Linked DNA regions of Coturnix japonica. The protein of the gene in region 2 purifies or fractionates together with the protein of the main gene of each other region. This does not show direct contact. Links are inferred from orthologs where the notes say so. Each region holds a gene or a part of one and is shown on either strand. Other genes may lie near its edges. The genes, in order: METTL9 and SLC30A2.

Region 1 (11,246 bases), on a different chromosome or scaffold from region 2:
AGAAAAACAGTTTTCCCATGTTGCTCCACACGGCTCAAATGTGGCAACCTGCAGAACAGGATATGTGACTTCAATATCTGAGCTTTTTGTTGGTGCCAACAATGTATGCTGGGGAATTAAGAACACGGCTCTTACCTCATGTGTCCTATTTACCTATCATTTCATACTTCTCAACAAGCACACTACAAATTAGTTATAACTAAGTCAAATAAGAACATGTCAATTATTTTAAAAACATTTAATTCAGAATAGGGCCACATACAAAAGTTTTTAGTTGCCTAAATAGCTACTGATCCATGTACTTACCATTTTCCACGTACGGGTGAAATGGCAGAACTAATGCTAGAATGACTCTGCCTCTAGTTGGCTCCAGTACACTTCTAATATCTTTTAATACAGTCAGTGGCTGATCACAACGATCCAGCAAATTCAAACAGCTGATAACATCATACTGAAATCCTGTGTTCTGCCATTCATTTATACCAAGCACCCTACGGAGAGAGAAAAAGAGCCAAGTTCAGAGGGAATCACTGAGGATAAAAATTCCCAATTGATGTGCTGATAGCACAGAAAGATCAGCCAACCAGGCAGTGAGGAAAGGCAGACGCTGTCCTTCTAGTCCTATGGAAAACTACTCAACAATAGGCATGGCTATACATTCAGCCACACCTTCATACTGCCATATAAACACCAGGGTATTATTAAAGTCTGATGTCCTAAATTAAAACTGAACATACTTCTCAAAAGTAACAACAAAGCTGAAATGTGATTAATAGTTTGCAGCATTTAAACCACCCTGACTTACCAGTGTGCAAACCCAGTTGCTATTAATTTTCCTCTTATGGACAGGGAAGAAGAAATCAACAGTTCCTTCATTCTTTGTGTTGAAGTCTAGGGATACAGTACCCCAGACACTAAGCAATATTCAACAAGATCTGCTGCCTACAAGAACTTCCAGCTGTTGTGATTAGAGCACAACAAAGTTCTGAAAGTGATTAAGTTTTTGTTCAAAGTACTGTTAATCTTAATAGCAAGAGCTAAGTATAATAAAAGATTCTTTACAAAGCAGTCTACAATCATAATTTTCTGAGTGATTAGGTGGAGATACCTGAATAATCTGTGTCTATAACCAAGATTCAATTTGCTTGCTCTGCAGCCCCATCAGCTCCTCTTGCAATTTTGGACTGTTCATTCATCAGCATCCAAATTTTGTCTCCCTAATTGCCTTCTTTAAAGAAATTTACACAAACTACGAAAAAAGAGACTTCAAAACAGTTGTTGCCAATTTTGTCTTAACTGGTAACGGGGAACATTTGCATATCAAAAGCCCTGCTAACAAGGAATATCAGATGTGTTTGCATTATTGTTTTTGTACAGTTCAATCCTTTCCATAAAGATCAAACAACATAAAAATAAGCTGAAAATACTGGACATTTATAAAACATTATAAAGATTGTTTTGCTGTAATATCTGGTATAAACAATGTAGGGCGCATTCAGAACAATACCTGTATTTTTTCTTCTGAAGCTGCCATATCATAGTTTCAGACAATTCAGTGGCATAGATTTCTTCAAAGTGAGGACTCATGACTTTAGTAACCTCTCCATCTCCTGCTCCTAAATCGAGCAGTCTGTGGGATTTCCATTCTGGATTTATTTTAAGCAGTCTTTGAAATTGTTCTGGGGAAAACACAAACATTGAGCCCCTTCCCAGCAGCCTGAAAGGTGAAGATGAGAAACATTCAATTTCAAACAAGCTTGAACAGGAAGGACAACAAAGTAATTTAAAATGTGCTTTGGCAGCAATCAGTCACACAATATAGATAAGGTCACTACTCAGATAAATTTACAAATCCACTTCAACTTGCCTTCTACTTGTCAGAGACCACACAAACACATGGCTACATGCAGTTTTAGTGGCTAAGACTTCAGGAGGGATTTGATCAGGAAAGGAGCTTGTGGGCTGCAAAGCAAGAAAATGATCACACACAAAAAAAGCAGGGAGGGGAGAGATAAAGACTAAGCCCTATTTGTCATGTTTGCAGATCTGAATCTCTCCCACCTACCTAAAAAGGAGAAAGAAGACAGAGCAAAGGAAACAGCAGAATGGCTGCAGACAGAAATACTCACAGAGAATAAGGAATAGGATTCGGAACTAGGAGGGACGGCAGGGAAAAGATTTAAAGAAAGCATGGGGATAGCACTGCTGGAGTGGCAAAAGAAAAGACTTCTTAATTGTGTGATACAATGGCTTTTGCTGCTATCTGCAGACCCTGCATTTAACACGAAGAGCTGTCAAACAGAAAATAGGTAAGTCATTAAGGTATTGGGTAGAGGTGACATTTGGATTCTTTATGTATCACATCAATGGCACACACACCCAAAACTGACTGAAGGCTACACAGTGACAGATTTCTGCTGCCACTGCAGAATTCAGAAGATGAAAGAGTTAGGAGAACAAGCAGAGGAAGAAAGAATGGGTCAACGGCAGACTAAAGGTAGTAAAAAATATGTACTGTTTAAACTCATGTTGGATAGCAGGTTAAATTTTAGAAAGAATATGAGCAGAAATCTTATGATCAAGAGGAAAAAAGGTAAACAGATAAAAAGGATGAAAGAATAAAAAATCTGAAAAATAAGAGTTCTAGATACACTATTAAAAACAAACACCACCAACGTAAGGATAGGCTGTACAGGTATGTAGAAGAAACTACAGAAGGATATTAAATATATTTTAAAAACAAACAGAATACAACCAATTTATGCAGAGCCCCTTTGCAGCACACTCATGTCAGTCTACACTGTCTAACTGGCTCCTGGCTATTAAGCATAACAGCACTATGAGGAGGTACTCAAAGCACTGGAGAGCCTTTGAAAAAAAAGAAAGGAAAAAAGAAAGAGAAAGGAATATGAGAAGACCAAAGGAACCTTTATGTAAGCCTACAAGCACTAAAAACACCACAGGGAAGCTCAGAGACACCTGGTTAGAAAATAGAGAAAGATTATTTTCCAAACCTTAGTAGCTACTGTCCTCAAATCAGACTGTACGGAAATATGGACAGATGTGGGGATGGTGGAGAAATGGGGAAATGCAACAAAATGCATTCTTGATAGAGTCAAAAGTGCCAAGTTGTTACACACGTCAGAGCAAAAGAGAAGTGAGTAGAAACTCTGACTTTTTGGGGTGACACACGAAAGCAGCCACGAACAGCAACTTCTCCCACAGCCAACCACAGGAGAAACCAACGTGATGTGACCAGGAGAGCGATGGTTTATGAAATCCTCTATTCCCACCTCACTGACGTTTCATCAGTCAAATGTGCCACACCAGAAGCTACCTGTTCAGGTATAGCTAATACAAAAACCATGATGAAATTAAGTTTTAATGGATAAGAGGAAGGACAGAATCCCATTCCACTTAAGTGTTACAAGACTTCACTCAGCAACTTCTGCATCGTTCAGAAATCTGCCTCATTTTGCATCAGCTATGCACATAAGCCTTAGAGCAATGCAGATCTAACTGGACACAGCCACCTCCAATGAGAACAATCACAATGGGAAACGCTACAGAAATGGCAGCAGATAAAGGGCAAGGAGGAAGAAAAAAAAACAACAGAGAGGAGTACATCATCTAGCACAAAGAAAATACTCTCTTATTTGAGAGGATAATCAGGAGGAAATTAAGTAATGATTACAAAATACAATTAGAGCCCTATGCCTCTCTCCTGACTAATTGCTAACATTCCCTCTGCCTTGCTTATACTGGAACTGGTGTTGTTTAATTAATTGGGTTTAGGGGAAGAGCACAGTAGGGCCTTGCAGAAGGTAGTTTGCCAAAGGGGAAAGCACAGAACCTTAAGAAAAGCTGATATGTCAAGAAGCAAGGCTCAACACCTGAAAAACCTACATCCAAAACGTATGTAGTTTACCTAAGATTGACTTTTCACTTACCCATTGATAGATGTTCTAGACATAAAAAGGCTAAAAATTGAGGACACAAAAGAGTGATAGAGCTGGATAAACAGCCAGCCTGATTTTTCAATGCTGTTGTTTAAGAAGATCTGCGTTCCTTGGTCAAGGTAACTCTGGACAAAAACAGGCTGAAGGGATTCAGACAACTGTTCTGTGTTGCAGACATACCACTGCAGAAAGAGACAAAGGATCGTTAAAAAGTTCAGCAATATAAAAATAGAACCGTTAAAAAGAAATTGAACACAGAGAGCTATTATCAGTTTCTGTAAATACAAAAATTGAGCTTTCCCTCAAGGCTTTTAAACAGGCTTCAGGATTAATTAACTCAGATACGAGCTGTAATCAAGTGCGGACAGATGACTCACTATAAATAACACTTACAATTTTATCTTAATCACTACTTTGTACTTTAAAGAATTTTGTCCAACAACAGTTCCAGAAAGCTATCACAATGCTATGGGACAGCAGCACAGGGGTGGAACAGCATGAAGGGGGACTATGCTGCTTTCTGACTCTGCTCTCAACTTGTCACTGTGTGTCCCTGAAAAGATACAGGAAGTTCATCTGCAATATTTTCTCCAGTTAGAGAGAGAGAGCCTCCAGCAGAGGAGCAAACATCCTCCAGCTGAAGTCTGAACACTCCATGTACTGTGGCTAAGTTGCTGGCAGAACCAAACCCTCAGCAATACTTCCAAGCACACGAGATCTTCTCCTCTCAAACCCACATTTAATGAAACCCCGCACTGTATTGCAGAGCCCAGCACAAGGATCCTCAGGACCGATAACTGCCAGTTCGGGTCCTTTCTCACTGCAGCACAGTGGTACCTGAATGAACCTGCACAGACCAGTGATGCCCAGAAGGATCCTTAGCAGACAGTGAGCAAGCACTCAAAGCAGAGCAGCCAGCACACTTTGCCCATCCATCTGCTGATGGCAGGAGTGGACAGGCCCATAGAGCCGAGGAGCAGGCTGCGATGTGTGTCAGCTCCAGCAGTTGTTGTGAGGCTGCTGCCCAGCCACAGCAGGCGGGCACAGAGCGGCTCCTCACATTGCCATGTTCAATGGAGAAGGAAATACATCCCAGTACCAAAGCTGTGGGAAACACACACTTTGATTCCTAAGAGGTATGAACACCACATGCAGTAACTGAGCTCATATACCCTATAATAATGCTAGTGAGTATTAGAAGTGATACTAAACTGTAGGGGAAAAAAATGACAAAAATCCATCCAAAATAAGTGGTGAAAAACAGCTTAATTCTGCAATAATCCCTCAAAACAGAACTTGCTTTTGTATTCCTCCATGTCCAATTCCTGACCAGCCCTTTTCATGCCACTAGTTTCGTAACAGAAAGTGCATCAATCTGGTAGAGCACAACTGTAGAAAAACTATATACAGCCCATCAAAGAAATCTGAAGAGGAGTTTTAAGGTGCACTGAAATCCAAACCCAGTAAGTGGGAGCTGCTGACAACCGACCTGTGAATGACACCGCTGCCTTCACAGCACGTATTCTTGATCTACTCGTCTTTCTAGTACGGTTTTTAACAGGAAACACTTGCAAGTTTCCTTTGTCCAGAAGAAGGAAGGTTCTTTTTGTAACCTCGGTTTCTGTCATCCTACCATCCACTGAACGACCCGAACGCAGGCTGAGCTCCTGCCCAGTACCAGGCTCACTTGGCCGCAGGGCTCTGGGTGTCGCTGCCCACTCAGAGCACAAAAACCCTCCAGTAACAGACCAGCCCGAAGAACGACGATGTACGTGCTCTTCCTTTGTACAGCAATCCTCAAGTACTTGTATCGTATCTTCCTTAGATAAAGCAGCAGCTTCCTTCAGCTCTGCACGAGTCACCTCCCGTCCGAACTCCTGACAGACCTTCAGCGGCATTTCAGCGAACTGTCCCTCAGAGCTGATCGCAGCTGACAGCCCAGACTGACAATCTGACTACCCCAGAGCCGCCGAACGGCTCCGACGTCCCCGCAGTGCCCCTGGCCGTGCCCGTGCTGCCCAGACACAGCGCTGACCTTCCCCTGCAGTTCTATCGCCCCGCAAACTCGGCTCCACTTCGGCTCCCGCCGCCCCTCCAAGGCCTCAGCGCGCTTTGTCGCGAGCTGCTCGCAGCCTCACGTGTGTTCTTCCGGACGCACCGGCACCGACACGGCGCCGTGACACCGCGAACCCACCGCGAACCAACAGCGAACCCAGCGCATCCACCGCGGCGCAAACACTTCGCTCAGGCGGCGTTTCCCAGCGGGACGAGCAGCCCGGCGGCTCACACAGCGCATAACCCAGCCCGGCTCACACAGCGCATAACCCAGCCCGGCTCACACAGCGCATAACCCAGCCCGGCTCACACAGCGCATAACCCAGCCCGGCTCCCCCAGCCCGGCTCACACCCAGCCCGGCTCCAGCCCCGGTTCGCCGGCCCGGCTCCCCTCAGCCGTCCTTCCCCTCCCTCCTCTCACCCGGGGCGCACACGTCAACTTTCTCGCCGTACGGACGCGTTTCGCCGCCGCTCTTTGTCTCGCCCAGGCGGGCGCTGCCCGGCCCCGGGTCCCCTCAGCCGGCACAGGGCCGCCCCCCCGGGCCGCCCCCCCCGCCCCACTACCTCGGGACTCCCGGCCCCCACCTCCTGCGGCGCTGCCCCGCTGCCCCCAGGCCCGGCGGACGCGAGGAGGGGGCGGGCAGGGCAGGGCAGGGCAGGGCAGGGCGAGCGGGGGCCGCTGTCCGTACCTGGTGGGTCTCCCCGGCGCTCGGCGCGGTCGGGCCGTGGCTGCCCATCATATTCGCGTAGAGGGACCTGGATAAAGGGCTCCGCAGGTACCTGGCGGGACCAGCCCACATCCTCCTCCTCAGCTCCCACAGCAGCACGGTGTAGCAGCCCAGCCAGCACAGCCACAGTCTCATCGGGGGACGGGGCTCGGAGTCACCCCCTCCAGCAGCCGCCGTCTCCCCTCTCCATGGCAGCGGCGCCCCAGCAGGGCCCGCACGTCCAGCTCGGGGCGGAACGCGGCGTCAAGGCGGCGGGACCCGGCCGGACCGATTCGATGCGACACGCCGGGACTGGCGCGCGCCCGCTCCGCGCTTCCTGTCGCCAATCGCGGGATGGCGGGGCGGTGCTGCCCACACAGCTCACGCTGATCACACTGATCACACACAGCTCACACACAGCTCTCACTGCTCACACACTGCTCACACACACAGCCCTCACAGCTCACACACTGCTCACACTGCTCACACACATCTCACACACAGCTCACACACAGCACACACACAGCACACACAGCTCACACACAGCTCACACACAGCGCACACAGCTCACACACAGCTCACACTGCTCACACACAGCTCTCTCACTGCTCACACACAGCTCACATTGCTCACACACAGCTCACATTGCTCACACACAGCTCACACTCAGCTCACACAGCCCTCACCGCTCTCACAGCGCCCAATGGCGGTGTCCGACCCGCCGCTCGCCCCGCCCCGCCAGCCGCGTGCCCCGAGCTGCTGCAGCGCGAGGCGCGGGATGGTCGGCGTTGCACCGCACCGTGCAGCACGTGCAGCGCGAACTGCGCACAGTGTGAGTGCGTGCACAGCGTGCGAGGGAGTGACCCAGGAACACGGCACGTGCAGCTGCAGTGTGCCCTAAGCACGGAAATAGAACTGAAATATAACAGCTCTGGCTTCTGTTACTGTTACAACAAGGCGACTACCAGAACGAGTAATCAAAATCAGACGATCAAAACCGATACCGTGGGGAGAAGGGATTTTCGATGAGGCAACATTCCGTTCACAAACGCCTCCTGGTTCTGCGGGTCCATCCAGCTCCGTTCAGACCGACACCGCTGAGTCTCCATATGTGCCTTTACAAAACCTTCTTCCTGAGCTGACGGGATAGAGCTCACAATTACTTGTGGAGATGTGGCTTATCTGAACTGTTCTGTCCTTTCCTTCCTCATCTTTCCCGACAGCTCCAACTAAGATACACAGCCACACTCCAATGTAAACACCCCACTAGTCTATCGACCCAATGTGTTCAGGAATTACCGAGCAGTTCCAGTCACAGCAGGACATTGTTCTTGGTACAGAACAAGAGGAGCCAGCTGTGGGCTACACAAGAAATGAATCTCTTTTTTTCCTACTTCAATACTCTTTGATGTCATTTACTCTTCCTTCAGGTCATAACTAATCACACAGCAACATTTCTTACTATTAAATGACAATTTGATAGACACCTTATCAATGTATTACTGTAATACGGTGTATTATTGTGTCATGTTGCGTATTAAGATCAAAATTCGCAGAACTTCTAAAGAAACTCTATGAAGTAACGAGATGAAGCATCACACTTCCCATTCTCTGATGTTATCAAAACACTTCCTATTCTATATTATACATACTTACATTCCCACTATCACTATGAAGCTATTTTTAAACGCTGTTAAATCATCAAGAACAAACTGTGGCACTTTTCCAGCAGTACGACTCCAAACTCAGATACTATGAGCTAATAGGGAGAGAAAGCAGGCAAACAGCTGTTAAAAGACACTGAGCTTTTGCATTTGATCATCCATTATTTGATTCGTGGCCAAGAGCAATCGTGTTGGTTTAGCAAAGGATAACAAAGTTTAATGAATGACAGAGAAAAGGAGAACAAATTATGTCAGTGATGAAACACTGTCAGCTTCCTACCACTATCTCTTGTAGTAAGACCACCGCCTCAATTGAAGCCAGTTTTTCACTTCTCTTTTAGATTGATTATGGATGTGATTAAATATGCTTGCTTTCTCCTGCCCTCATAGCAAGAGAATTAGGACAGTGTGTGCAAAACAGAGATAGGATTCAATGTTTCTGAAATAGTATAAAGAAATCTTTATTCTAGAAAAATCACAGGATCCATTCAAAAACTTGCCTGAAAAGATTCTGGTGAGGCTAAATCAGAAATTAACATCAACTGGATGAATGATTCATCAATTAAATTCAGTGGTGAGCACAAACGAATCTGCCAATCTCAAACTACTAAGCAGGTAGAGTTGGACTTAATGTGTGCACTAAGATTTGTCCCGACGTACTGAACGCTGCTATATCCATATGCTCACGTTTTTCTTACCACAATGACATTTGGTATAAACTAACAACACTGCCTCAAAACAATTTGCCCATTCAAAACGCCAGGAACTACATCTACCTGCCACCAAATGCAGACATTGTGAAAGCCAAGGAGGAAGTATGGCGCCTTTTCCATCACACTTAATTGAATAACATTTAAATATTTTCCTTATTTAGTTTTACAGAGATTTTTGTACAGGGTCTCTTCCTGTAGCAGCTGGCAGCTTTGAGTTGATACTGGCCAGCTGGACACCAGCTATATGTTTTTCTTCATCTCTTTGCCATCCCTGAGGGACGTCCCTCTGGGCTCTTATGGCCTAACCCCAAAGATCTGACATTTCATCAGCTATGACCGAATTCATCCACCACCATTCAGTAAAGCTAAGAACAAACATCCCTCAAATTCCAAGTGCTGAGCTGGGATTCCCTCACCTGATCTGCCATATCCATTCTTCAAAGCAGGTAACAGTGACCAGTATACACCAAAAACAACTTTGGTAGTAATTATGGATAAAGCACGATACTTTCAAATAACTCAACTCAAAACCCTCTCTATATAGGCTCATCATTAAGGCTGAATGTGAATTATTTTCCATTACAGAGATGGGTGCAACACTACTGAAATGGCTCAAACTGTATTTGGTCTAACAGTCTGCTTAAGGCCATCTTGCTTTTTCACACTTAATATATGCTAAGTCTTTTGTGGTATGGTCCATTTAATTACCAACAGTCAAATATTCAGTGTGCAGCCGTCATATGACTATTCTGGATTGAAAAGGGAGTCCACGTCAGGATCTGTATGACTGCAACGCCAAGTGGAACCAGACAGATCAAATAGAACATGGCATCATGAAGACCTACAAACAGACTGGTGAAAAACATGAAAACATGTTAAAGCTTTTAAGATGAAGGAGAATCATTTTCTATGGTCGTTTCATAACAAATTACTTTAAAGCATTCATCTTAAATATTCACATACACATTACTGTGAACAATCAATACTAAATAAAGGAAATATCTCAGATATCAAATACGTTTCAGTTATATTTTGTGATTCTACATACAGATATATTTCATAGTGTTTACTTCTCTCATAATAGCTGGGAGGAAATGAGATAACTACATTACTACACATCTGTATTATTTAATACAGAAAATAATTTAAAGCAATGTGATTCAATTATAGAACAGAGCATCAGAAAAGGTTTAGTGGTGCTGCATGTTTTGGAAGAGAGAGAAAAACAGCAGTAGGAGCAAGCAGTTTGATATGGAATTATTTCACATCTGAATTACTAGCTATCCACATAGCATGTTACTATAGTTGCTGAATGCAAGGTGGGAGTTATGATTAATGCACAAAGCGCAGGTGTGGTGCAATAAATTGGCTGCTTGAAATGGGAAGACTAATTTCATCTCACTGTTTTGAAATAAATTTTTACAAGATAATGGAAACCACCAACATAATACACAGATTCTCATTCGTTTTCCTGGATGAATGGTATTTCTTGATCTAAATCTTCTTAAGGAATAAAAGCACCCACAACTATGAATCACAAAGGAGAATATGAGACACACATAACTCTTCTTCTGATACCCAGTGTGGTTTCTGACACTCAAAGCACACATTCTGGCATTCATTGAGTAACTGGAATCATCTACTGACACTCTGTTCATTATTGGATTTTAATTACTTAAATATCAGGAATGTCAACTCAAGCTGAGAAATAGGACCTAAATTATATTTCAGAAAATCAGTTTTTATCATTTACTTCTTTTCCTTAGCATTCAGGGATGAGGACTGAAGACTCAGAACAGCTATGGACACAATGCAAAAAGCCTTGAAATCTGTGAACAAAAGTCCTGTAAAACTGAGCAGGGTTTTGAATGAAATCTTAAGAGTTTATCTCAATCATAAAAGAATGAACTCATGTCTCACTGTAACAGAAAAATGCTCACAATCTCCAGCATAACCTACATTTATTCCTTAGTACATAGCTACACACACCCACACTGATCACAGTCTATCTCAAATCACGTACATGCTAATGCTCCATAAGGAAACAAAAGCCCACAGGCTCTCACATGAATTAATCACTCGGGCAATCACATTTAAGAAATACAAACTGTTAACCAGTATATCACTGGTCCACAGCCAATGTTTATT
Region 2 (11,128 bases):
CAAGGGGGCTTTATTCCTGATTGGGTTTTACCAGTGCAATAAAGGTCGGTGGAGGTGTGAAGTCTGACACGGGGTGAGCATTCTGTACCCAGCAATGGCACAGCACTGTGCCACCTCTCACAGCACCTCTGGGCTCAGCAGCCACTGCTGTGCTCCCATGTGTTGTCCCCGAGCCCTGCTCCACACATTGCAAGGCCAACATCCCGTGCCTGTGTCCCTGTGATGCTTTCCTGCCACCATCCCCACTCTGCTAACAGCTGGCCGGGAGGGCTGAGCTTCCCAAAGGTAAACAGAGCTGCGATAAGAGGTGAGAGCAGAGCGAGCCGGTCCTCCCTCCCCCCCAGAACGGGACAGTGGGATCGAGGGCTCCTCCCCCTGCACCCCTCCACCCCTCTCTACCCCCAACGCTCCCCAAAGCTGGGGGGGAAAAGCATTGTTTCAAACGCTTTTCACAGCTAAAATAGTGGAAAGAGAAGCAAGCGCTGCCCTCCGCCCCCTCCTGCAGCCCGGGCTCTGCTCTCACTGCCGTCACTCCCCGATAAAGCCCAGCTGCCTCCAGACTCAACATCACCCATCCCGAACCCAGCCCCCGCGGGCACCCGGCGCTGCTGTTTGCTCGCGTTTATTTTCCTCCTATTAAAAAAAACTGGTGGGAGAGGGACAGGGTGGAACTCAGTCGCTGGGGGGCTGACATTCACGGCAGTCCCGCATGTCCTCGGAGTAGCTCTCGATCTGGATGGTGGTGGTGTGGAAGCGAAAGGCACGCTGCAACCTGGAGCTGGCCTCCTCCAGCACCTCCTGCGAGTCGGCATCCGCATCTACAAGGAGCCCGGAGGGTTGTTGGGGGCCGGAGGAACCCCCATATCCCATTCCCCGGCCCTGCATCCCTCAGCACTCACTGATGGCGATGTGCACAGAGAGCAGCGGCTGCGAGGCTGTCAGCGCCCAGATGTGCAGGCTGTGCACCGCCTCCACGCCGCCCACCGCCAGCAGAGTGTCCCGCACCGCGTTGAAGTCCATCCCCCTGGGGGTGCCTGGAGGGACACGGGGTGGGATGGGGATAAGGCACTTATGGGAGGGGGGTACATATCACCACTCTGGGGGGCTCCCTACCCTCCATGAGGACGAGGAGGACGTCACGAAGGATGGTCAGCGTTGTCCCCAGCACCAGAACGGAGAAGAGGAAGGTGCAGATGGGGTCCACAAACTTGTACTCAGGCTGGGAGGGGTGGAAGCAGGTGAAACCCCAACAAGTGCAGCCAAATCCCCATTAACAATCAACCCCATCTCACCTCATGGCTGGACAAGACTATGTCCCCCATATCTCCCTCCCCTCCATACCTTAAAGAAGATGATGTAGGATGCAATGAGGACGCCGACGCTCTGCAGCAGATCCCCCACCACGTGGACGAAGGCAGCACGGACGCTGGCATTGGGCTGTTCGTGGGTGTGGGGCTGCTCATGAGCCCCTCCATGGCTGTGCCCATGGCCTGTTTGGTGCAGAGCCACCCCCATCCTGCAGGCAGGGCAGCAGTGACTTCCCCAGCCACCAATCTCCTGCCCAGGGGTTGACAGCACATCATACATACACAATATTGACGGCCACGGCGCAGGCAGAGGTGATGAGCATGACACTGCCTTCAATGTCGTAGTCACCCAAGAGCAGGCGTTGGGCCGCCAGGTACACCAGGACACCCGTCACCACCCAGATGGACAGCACAGAGAGCAGGGCCCCCAGGATCTCTGCAGACAGCCCTCCATGTCATTGTGCCATAGGGATGGCACACAATGGGGCTGTAGCTGGATCCTGAGGTTACCTGCCCGGTGCCAGCCAAAGTTCATGGTTTTGGTGGCGGGACGTGAGGACACCCAGAGGGCAAAGAGGCTGATCATGATGCTGGCAAAGTCCGTCAGGAGGTGGGCAGCGTCCGTCAGGATGGCCAGGCTGTGTGCCAGGTACCCACCTGTGGTATGGATGGGGGATCCCCATCCAGATCCAAGCATATGGGCATCCCATGGCAAAACGAGGTGCCCTGCCTGCCCCACGCCTGCACCCACAGCACAGAATGAGACAAGAGGGGCCATGCAGGGCAATGTGTTCACCCAGCGTTCACTCACCCACAGCTTCCCCCACCATGAAGATGAGGCAGATGCCAGCAGCCACATAGAGCTTCCTGCGTGCCCGCTGCTGCTGGTGGGGGTCGCTATCAGCCCCCCTTGCATGGCAGTGCCGGCGGTGCCGTGCCCTCAGCTCCAGGGTGGGCGCCTGGCCCTGCGCTGAGCCGGCTGTGTGCTTCTGTACCATCCCCAAGTAGGACCTGCAGGGAAAGGTGACATCGGGGCACCCGGTTGGGGGACATGGGGGAGGGAGGAAGGGATTTGCAGCCCGCTCTTTGCATTTAGCCCTGCTCCGACGTGTCCCCTTCCCCAGATCCTCTCCCTAAACAGATGGCTTTGGCAGACCCCATCCGGGAGCACAGTGAGGAGAGGGGTGCACGCAGGTTTCCAGCCCCCCCCCCATTCACCCTCTTACCTGCCCACTCCCTCGCCCAGCAGCTGCTGCTTCTCCCCTCCGCCCGCTGCCATCCTGCGGGGTCCGGCGCTGCTGACCCCGATGCGGGTCCGGAGCTGGTGGCAGCTGTGACCGCGGCCGTGTGAAGCACCGGGACCCGTGTGCAAAGCAAGGCCGGGGGGAGGAGGGCCAAGCCGGCTGCAAATCGCTTGCTGAGCCTCGCCCCACGCTGGCCGTGCCGCAGCCCGCAGCCGGGGGGCTCTCGGGGTCACGGAGGGGCTGCTCTGGGCATCCCCATGTGTATCACACAGAAGCACATCTTAACCTGCATGCAGGATGTGGCTGCATCCCTTAAGGACAGAGCTGCATTGGTGCACCCCCTCCCCACCATGGGAACAACCCCCCCCCCCCCAGTTTGTGGTTGGACACCCCCATAGCAGTGACTGCACCCCACTGCCCCCAGGAGCAGCACTGATTGCTGTGGGGCTGACTCCAGCTCTGGGCTCTGCTTTCAGCACTGCCTCAGTTTACCCTCAACCCTGAGCTGGGTTTATGTTGGCACAGAAGAACCCGACTGTGCTGTGATTTTGGACCCATGTGAGCTCAGCTCCATGCTGTCCCCTTTTGGGGCTGGCAGAGTTTGGAGCACCGTCACCCCATGTCCCCGAGGCCGGGTAAGCACTGGGATAAATCCTGCTGGGTGCTGACCTGTCACATCCCGGGAGCACAGCCAGCATGAGGTGCCAAGGCCACCAGAGGTGTTAATTAGGCTGAGAATTGGGCACTGATCCCATAGCAGAGAACACTCCCACATCCCCAAACCCATCACAGGGTGAGAAAACGAGAGGTGAGAGAGGAAAAGAAAACAAAAGCCAGAGCACCAGTTTTCTGTACAAAATACACAACTCCATTACAATTATATACAAAACAAGGAACATATAAAACGTGCGGAATAGTCCTCTTGGCACCCGTATAGAAAAGTGTCCTGTACTGGAGCTGGATGGCCGGCCCCGTCAGTGTGTCCCCAGGTTCTGTCCTGGACATCCTGTGTCCTACTGGGGGGCTGCAGAGGGAGAGGGCAGTGAGTGGGACTTCATCAATCCTCTGTCATCCCCTCTGTCTGTGGGGTTTCCGCTGTGATGCTGCTGGTGCCGGCACAGAGAGGGCTGGCCCTACCTGCCACCACCCTTTCGGGTTCTGTGTCTCCTGTATCTTCTTCCACCTCTTCATAGAACTCATCTTCTTCATCTGTAAACAGGCACCGGATGTCAGTGAGGGGCAGCTGCTGAAGGACCTTCATTGTCAGATCCCAAAGGGTTTTTTGGGGTGGAATTACCTGGCTCAAAGTCGAGGGCGCGGACAGCATCGGCGAGGTGCTCAAGACTGACTGTGAAGGCGTCCATGCTCTCATAGCCTTGCTCGATCTTCTCCAGCTTGCCACCCTTAGAGGCTTCCACAATGCTGGGGGAGGGAGCACAGCATTGATCCCACAGCCCCAAGCATAGAGCAGAGCCATATGACCCACATCTGGCAGGGGATGGGGATCCCACAGCTTTCCCCAGTTCGGGCACTTACGTTTTAATGAGCTGCTTGGCATTCTGTGGAAGTAAGAGGAAAGGTGAGGATGGCAGAGTAGCAACACCCAGCATGTCCCTGTGCCACCAGGACGTGGCACAACAGACTCCCAATAGGAAGCAAGGGCTTTAGGGGTTGGGGGTCTCACCATGAGGAAGGCGGCCCCGCCGGTCTCCTCCATGGCCTGGATGGCCGTCTCCACCAGCCGGCTGGACTTCTCCAGCTGCTCCTTGTACTTGTGGATGAGGCCCTGCACAAAGCCTGTCTTGTCCTCCTGCTCACGGGTGATGCGTCCCAGTAGCTCCGTCTTCTTCTCCTCCAGCAGAGCCATAAACGCATCAAAACGTGAGCAGAGCTCTTGCTTGGCCGCCTCGCTGTTCTCCTATGGGGACAAAGATGTGTCCTTCCAGCCCCTGTGTCCTCTGCTCAGGGGCTGCCTCCCCCAGCACTTGGTTTCTGGGGGGATGTTTCCATGTCCCTCACCTCAGTGCTGCGGCAGGAATCTTCCAGCTGGGAAATGATGGTCTGGATGCGGTCGTTCCCCGCTACTAGCATGGAAATGCAGTTGTTCAGCTCGCTCTGGGAAGGGACAGATGGACAGAAGCAGCTTTAACCCCTGCAGGGCACAGATGGGTGCTGCCAGGGTATCACGATCCAGCCCCCATCCCACAGGCTGAGAGGGGGGGGCATCGCACTAAATATAGGCCTGTCTCCTGGTCAAAGTCAGCCTGCTGCCTATTAATACCCCATGAGGCATCCCAATGCTATTTGCAGCCACCCTAGCTCAGCACATCGCCCAGATCTGGCCATTCCCCACTGTGGCCCCATGTCCCCCCATGTTGCACCTTCTGGCCCTGGAAGATGCTCTGCAGAGGGGCGACTTCGCAGTCCTTGTGAGCACCGAAGACCTTGCACATGGAGCAGGTGGGGACCTCGCAGGTGACGCAGTAGATGTTGATCCTCTCATCCTCATGATCCTTGCACATGGGGTGCTCCCCCTTCTTGAGCGGCCTGCTGGAGAGAGCAGCCCAACCACAATGACATCCCCAGCACAATGACATCCCCACCATATTGACGTCATGTCCCCATCATGGTGACGTCCCCACAGCAGTGACCTCCCCACCCAATGCAGAACTACTGCCCCATAACCGGATCCTGGCCTTATCCTCCTGCATGCCCAGTAAGCCCAGTTTGTAGCAGTGTGTCATCAGGCATGGCAGCAGTTGGGGCCACGCTCCAGGGATGCTACACAAGCTCCTAATTTTAGCTGAGTGCTGCTGGCATTTATTATTATCATCCAACGCGTGACCCGGGCAGGGGCTCCAGGGAGCTCAGGGGGGTGACAGCCATTGAGTCACCACTGGGGGGTTCGCCAGCTCCCCCCCGGGGGCTGCTGCCACCTGCCACGTGCCTTCCATCCCTGTTCCCATGGAGCTGGAACAATATTTACAGTGGGGCAGGAGAATGGGGAGATGAACTCACATGTCTGGGTCCTTTAAAAAACATCACCCCCCTGTTTGTCCCCCTCCTGCTGCACCTCTGCCACTAAGTAATGCTGTCAGACCCCTCAGGCTGTCCCCCTGTCCCTTATCATTCCCTGCTGTCACAAGCAGAGCCTGGATTTGTCCCTCACACCCCTTATCTTCAACATAAAGCCAAAGCTGCAGGGTGCCAGGATGGGGGCTGGATTCGTTCTTCTGCCACCCCCTTAGGGTCCCCCTGTCCCCACAGAGCAACCGCAGACTAGAACAGCACAGGCTGGGAGGGAGGTTTGGGCTGGGAGATGGAGATTTGTGTTGGGGGTGAAGATTCGAGTTGAGAATGGAGATCTCAATTGTGAGGTGGAGATTTGGGTTAGGGAAAGGTGGGGAGGGGAGCACCAAGCCAGCCTCCCTGGTTCCTCGCCCCCCCAAAAATGATGTGGCTGCCCCTGTGTCCCCATAGGACCAACCTGGAGAACTCCTGCTTGTAGATGTCGATGATGTTCTCCACCAGCAGGTTCCTCTGCAGCCCGTAGACACCGTGGCGGTCCAGCAGGACCTCATGGCGACACGTAGGGCAGCGGAACCGGCCCCCTGAGATGATGCTGCTGCCCCGGCTCTGCCAGTATGGGTTGGCAGCCTGGAGGGGGACAAGGACATCGGGGTGTCCCCAGGTGCCCCTGCAGAGCATCCCAGAGCAGGGCAACGTCCAGGGGGGTCCTCATCTCACCTGGAAGATGTCGTTGGCACACTTGCGGCAGAGGTTATGCTGGCAGGGCAGGATCACCACAGGCTTGCTGAACATCTCCAGGCAGATGGGGCACAGTAGCTGCTTCTCCAGGCTCTCCATGGGGCTGCCATCACGTAGGATGCTGGGCTGGAAATCCATTGGTACGGCACTGCTGCTCCTCCTCAGAGCAATCTCAGTTCTGGAGCCGGAGCCCCTCGTGCAGCTTTTATCCATAGCCCAGCAATCACGTGGAGTCGGCTCGGCTGTCCGAAGGTATCAGCTGTCACATGGCGGTGACAATCGAGGCGCGCGGCCGCAGTAAACAAGCTGGGGACATGCTGGGGACATGCTGTCCGTATGGCCCTGCTGGGGAACACCGAGAGACTGGGGGGGGGTCGATGCTGCTGGGGAGTCAGGATGAAAAAGCACCGGGCTGGGGGTTTGCATTGCCCTTTGCACCCTCAAAATGCAACTTCTTGTGGGGTGAAAGGCACCTGCAGGGCAGCTGATGGCTTTTTAGCTGAACTGCAGCACCTGGGGGATACAGCAAATGTGCTTGGTGCGTGCACCCTCTCTTCCTCATGCTTCTCTGCACCCCAAAAATCCATATAGCAGCCTGCAAGGGGGTTCCCAAGCACAGCAGCACCATGCTGCACATCCCACATGCCCGGCTGTGCCCTGCACTTGTTTGCAAAACCTGACCCAGAAACATCAACAGGAAAACAGGAGTGTGGCCCCTCCAGACTGCTCCCAGCTGGGAGCCGCCCTGATCACATTGCCTGGCTGTCAGCTGGCACACCAGTAAACACGGTGTTCTTCCAAATCCCAGCGCCGGTGCACAGGGAGACCTGTAAATATTGGCAGCTGCAGGGGAGAGGATAATTATAACACCTCTGCTGTGGGTCACAGGACGGGGTTGGGTGAGGTGGCTTCTCTGTTCCCCATAGAGCCCAATGGGTAGGAGGTGCTGCAAGTGGCCAAAGGGATGGGTGCTGAGATGCTGCGGTAAGTGGGTGGTGGGTGCACAAAGCCATGGGCACACAGAGGCACAAGTGCATGGGTACATGGGAGCAGGGGTATCTGTATAGAGGGCTGTAGGAGTGCACAGGTGCATGGGTGCACATTGATGCATGAGTATGCAAGTACAGGGGTAAATGAGGTTACTTGGGTGCACAAAGGGTACAGGGGTGCACAGATAGATGGGTGCATGACCACATGGATACGTGGGTGCACAGCTGTATGAGTACACTTATGCATAGGGACACAGCACAGTGGGTGCACGCTATAGGGGCTCTAATATTGTCCCAGATGAACCCCCCAGACATGGGCAGCCTGTGACTGTTCCAGACGCTCCTTCCAGGAAGGCTCTCACATGTCAACCAAGTGACAGCACAGAAGCCAGCCAAGCACATCTTGCAACATTGTCCCCTTTTTGGCACTGGGAGACCTTCCAAGGAGGTTTGTACATTGAGATACACACCGTAAGGGAGGGAATGGGGGGGGGACCGGATGCACACCTGTCCCATTGCTGGCCCTGCCCACTGAACTCATCACTGCTGGACTTTATGAAGGGGATTCCCACAAGAGGATGAGCTGGAACGCCCCATTCGGTTTCCCAGCCCCCAATGGCTCCTCCTCAACCCCCAGTTGGCTCCGAGCAATGCAGGCACGGCTGCCAACCAACCAACCCGAGCGCTGTAAACACAACCTCCATCTGCTCCCTGCTGCCATTGAGGACAGCGGGGGAGCCCAGAGACGCTGCCAATGATGGGGCAGGTGAATAAATGGGTGAAGAAATAGATGGGTAAATAAATAGGCGAATAGAGGGATAGGTAAGGGGCTGTCATTGCAAAGCTGCGCCGCTGACACGCAGATAAAGTGAAGCAGAGGAGCTAGGCTCGCTTGCTGTCCCACCCCAAGCAACGAAAAAAGAGATAAATAAAAAAGAGATAAAGAGGAAATAGATAAAGAAGAAATAGATAAGCACCAATGCCTACATACACGCAGCCAATCAGAATGCGGTGCGTCAGTGGGCGTGGCCTTCGGGGGGTCGGTCCCTATGATGGCGGCCGGGCGGCGGCGGCGCGGCCTTAGTGCGGAGGTAACGCGGGGCTTTGGTGGGTGTTGCGGGGTCCCACCGCATAACACGGAGCTCCCGAGCGTTGAGAGGGGCGGGCAGGGGTATAATGGCGTTGTGGGAGAGCTACGAGGGGTCTGGGTGTTGTATCGGGGCCTTGCGAGGCCTCGGTTTGCCGGAGCTTGGTGCCCTCGCACTGATGATGCCTGTCTTTCTTTCTCTCTCTGTTTCTTTCTCTTTTCCGAACAAATAGTTCCTACCGCACTGGAATCAATCGCGAGCTCCTCGTTAATAGCTCTGATGAGATCCTCCCTTCCCCATCAAGGCGTTTAAACGCAGTTCTCACTGCGGCCTTGCCGGCCTGGCCCTCCCCTGGTGTTCTGTATGACACAGCTGCCATTGCATTGGGGTCATCGGGGCCTACACGGTGTGGGGCTGCCCTTCTTCCTCCCCCATTCCGAGCTGTGTGTGTTGTTTTCCTCATAGAGCATCGCTCCACCCCATATCCTATGGAGTAACGAAGTCAGCTGGGTGCTTCTGCTGCTTCTTGTGACAGTAGGAGCTAGTTGGGAAGTCATAGCGATGTTAAAAGATCAGTGATGCTTCCTATCTCATCTTAGTGCCAGAAGAAGGAAAACCATTGTTAAGTTATCACAGCGAGCTTTACCTATGCGGTCATCTTAAAAGTCAGCTCTGTTTCAACCTGTTACTCCTCAACTGCAGGTTTCAGCTAGAAACTCTCTGATATCCCAGGTGTGGATGGAGAGCATGAAACAGCCCTGTTATTCGCATAGGAAAACCCAAAAGACACTGAGGGAAAGGAACAGCAGGATATGGGATAGCCCTGCCTCAGCGCAGTGCAATTCTAGGTTTGAATTGTTGCCTTCTTGAACGCTGAGCTGTGTTTGAAATCATATAGTCCCACCCAAATGATGTATTAGCCAGCCCTTATTATGGCTTCAAGCTTACAAGAGTGACTTCTGAAGTCTTCCAGCACTGGAGCACAGCATTGCATTCAATGTGATGCTCAGAGACCTCCTTGCACGCTGCAGGGTGTTGGTGCAGCTGGCATTGCCACGCCAGGCCATATGGGGGAAGACACAGCTCAGTTCTTGTTCATAAGTTATAGTTGTGTGGGTTTTTCCCCCTTCCCCAGAAGCCTTGATCTTGAAGATGGTGAGTAGCCAGCCTAAGTACGATCTAATACGGGAGGTTGGTCGTGGCAGTTATGGTGTGGTGTACGAAGCAGTCGTCAGGAAGACCTCTGCACGGGTGGCAGTGAAAAAGATACGGTGCCATGCTCCAGAGAACGTGGAACTAGCTCTGCGTGAGTTCTGGGCACTTAGCAGTATCAAGAGCCAGCACCCCAACGTCATTCACCTGGAGGAGTGCATCTTGCAGAAAGATGGCATGGTACAGAAGATGTCACATGGCTCCAGTTCTTCCCTTTATTTACAGGTACATGAAGCTGAGGTAACGGGGTGGAAGTGCTTATGTGGATGTGCAGCTGGGAGGGAAGGAGGTGGGTAGCTAAGATGGCTTTTGAGGTATATTTAGGCAGGAGAGGGTATCGTTTGCTTTATTTTATGTCTTTAAAAGAGCTTATCTATTGAACAATCACCTGCATCTTTTAATTTGAAGCCATGCGACGCTAAAGGCTCCAGGACTTGCTTTGCTAAGTTGGGGAAACACCACAGGGGGAGGTGCAGGCCTGTAGAGTCCTGCTGCAGGGTTAATGAGCAGCACTAATGTCTTGAGGCAGAGCCCTGAAGGATTTCTTAATGTCAGATGCCTTTGGAAGGGGCTGTCTTGATGTAGTAAGCCAACGTTTAACTCTTCCCAGATGTAGTAAGCAATTAAGAGAGCTCATTGAGCTGGTAAATAACTTCAAAGAGAAGTAAATGTATGGTATGTAGAGGAATAGAAGAGTAGATACTGCTATCCTTTCTGTTGGGGCTGTTGAAAATGGAGTTGCCTAGAAGTTGGAAGGCAAGTATTTCAGAGCAATACGTAGCCCTGGAAGGACCTGAAAGCTCATGTGAGCTTGCTAGGAGTCTGCCCCAGCTCTAAATCATCCCCTGGCAGACATTTGTCTCTCTGATATTAAAGAATCAGCGGCCTGCTAAATAAACATGTGCTGCATTATCCCCGATCAGCTTCTATCATTTCAGTTTTTATTGTTGTCATTCTTGCATGGCTGACACTGAATCTTTTGTTAGTGTGCACTCATTTGCCAACACTTCATTTGCCAGCACTTCATGGCTGTTCTGATCCCCTTGTGCTGGGTGTTCTGCGAGCCTGAGAAAGGCTTCTTGCCTTTGTCAACTTGCCCTAGCACAGTCATTGTTAATGGCACGTTGCCACGAAGGGATTAGGGTAAAATAATACTGATCGGCTCACGTGGGGTAAAAGTAGTACCTTATTTTGTTAGTGGAGCTGTAAGATACTGCATCAGACTTGCAGGGAGCTGCAAAGGGAGAAGATAGGGGGGAAAAAAAGAGGGGTGTGAGGGAGGCTGCAGGGTGGGACTGTGAGTGAGGAAGAGCTCCCAGGTCACTGCTGGGTTATGTCAGCAGTGCAGCATGCAGACCTTGCCCGTGTTTGGGGCACAAGTGCTGCAGGTTGTTTTCTTGCTCCAAAGAGCAGAGAAGAGCAAAGGGCAGAGCTGAGTGCAGAGATCACTTTATGATAGCCTATGCTGAAAGAGAGAAACCCAGATCTCCCTTGGCTTGCTCTCTCTTCTGCCCACTCCA

What was found.
Region 1: the proteins of SLC30A2 (region 2) and METTL9 purify together in Homo sapiens (co-immunoprecipitation; 3 studies listed by BioGRID and IntAct, with this or other methods). This does not show direct contact. The link is inferred for Coturnix japonica from reciprocal best matches to the Homo sapiens genes SLC30A2 and METTL9.

The regions. Positions count from the first base shown.
Region 1 is NC_029529.1:8,376,696-8,387,941, reverse strand, and holds the start of METTL9 (methyltransferase-like protein 9), read right to left. Parts: upstream 7,132-11,246; 5' UTR 6,878-7,131; coding exon 6,704-6,877; intron 4,142-6,703; coding exon 3,951-4,141; intron 1,718-3,950; coding exon 1,508-1,717; intron 492-1,507; coding exon 307-491; intron 1-306. Other genes in the region: transmembrane protein 180, read right to left, coding at 9,821-9,950. UniProt on the Homo sapiens protein: Protein-histidine N-methyltransferase that specifically catalyzes 1-methylhistidine (pros-methylhistidine) methylation of target proteins.
Region 2 is NC_029538.1:2,857,804-2,868,931, reverse strand, and holds SLC30A2 (zinc transporter 2), read right to left. Parts: upstream 2,865-11,128; 5' UTR 2,587-2,864; coding exon 2,534-2,586; intron 2,319-2,533; coding exon 2,119-2,318; intron 1,965-2,118; coding exon 1,818-1,964; intron 1,744-1,817; coding exon 1,590-1,743; intron 1,517-1,589; coding exon 1,342-1,516; intron 1,220-1,341; coding exon 1,114-1,219; intron 1,035-1,113; coding exon 900-1,034; intron 819-899; coding exon 673-818; 3' UTR 587-672; downstream 1-586. Other genes in the region: E3 ubiquitin-protein ligase TRIM63, read right to left, coding at 3,565-3,575, 3,689-3,760, 3,849-3,973, 4,088-4,110, 4,236-4,469, 4,571-4,666, 4,933-5,101, 6,039-6,208 and 1 more; serine/threonine-protein kinase PDIK1L, read left to right, coding at 9,549-9,833.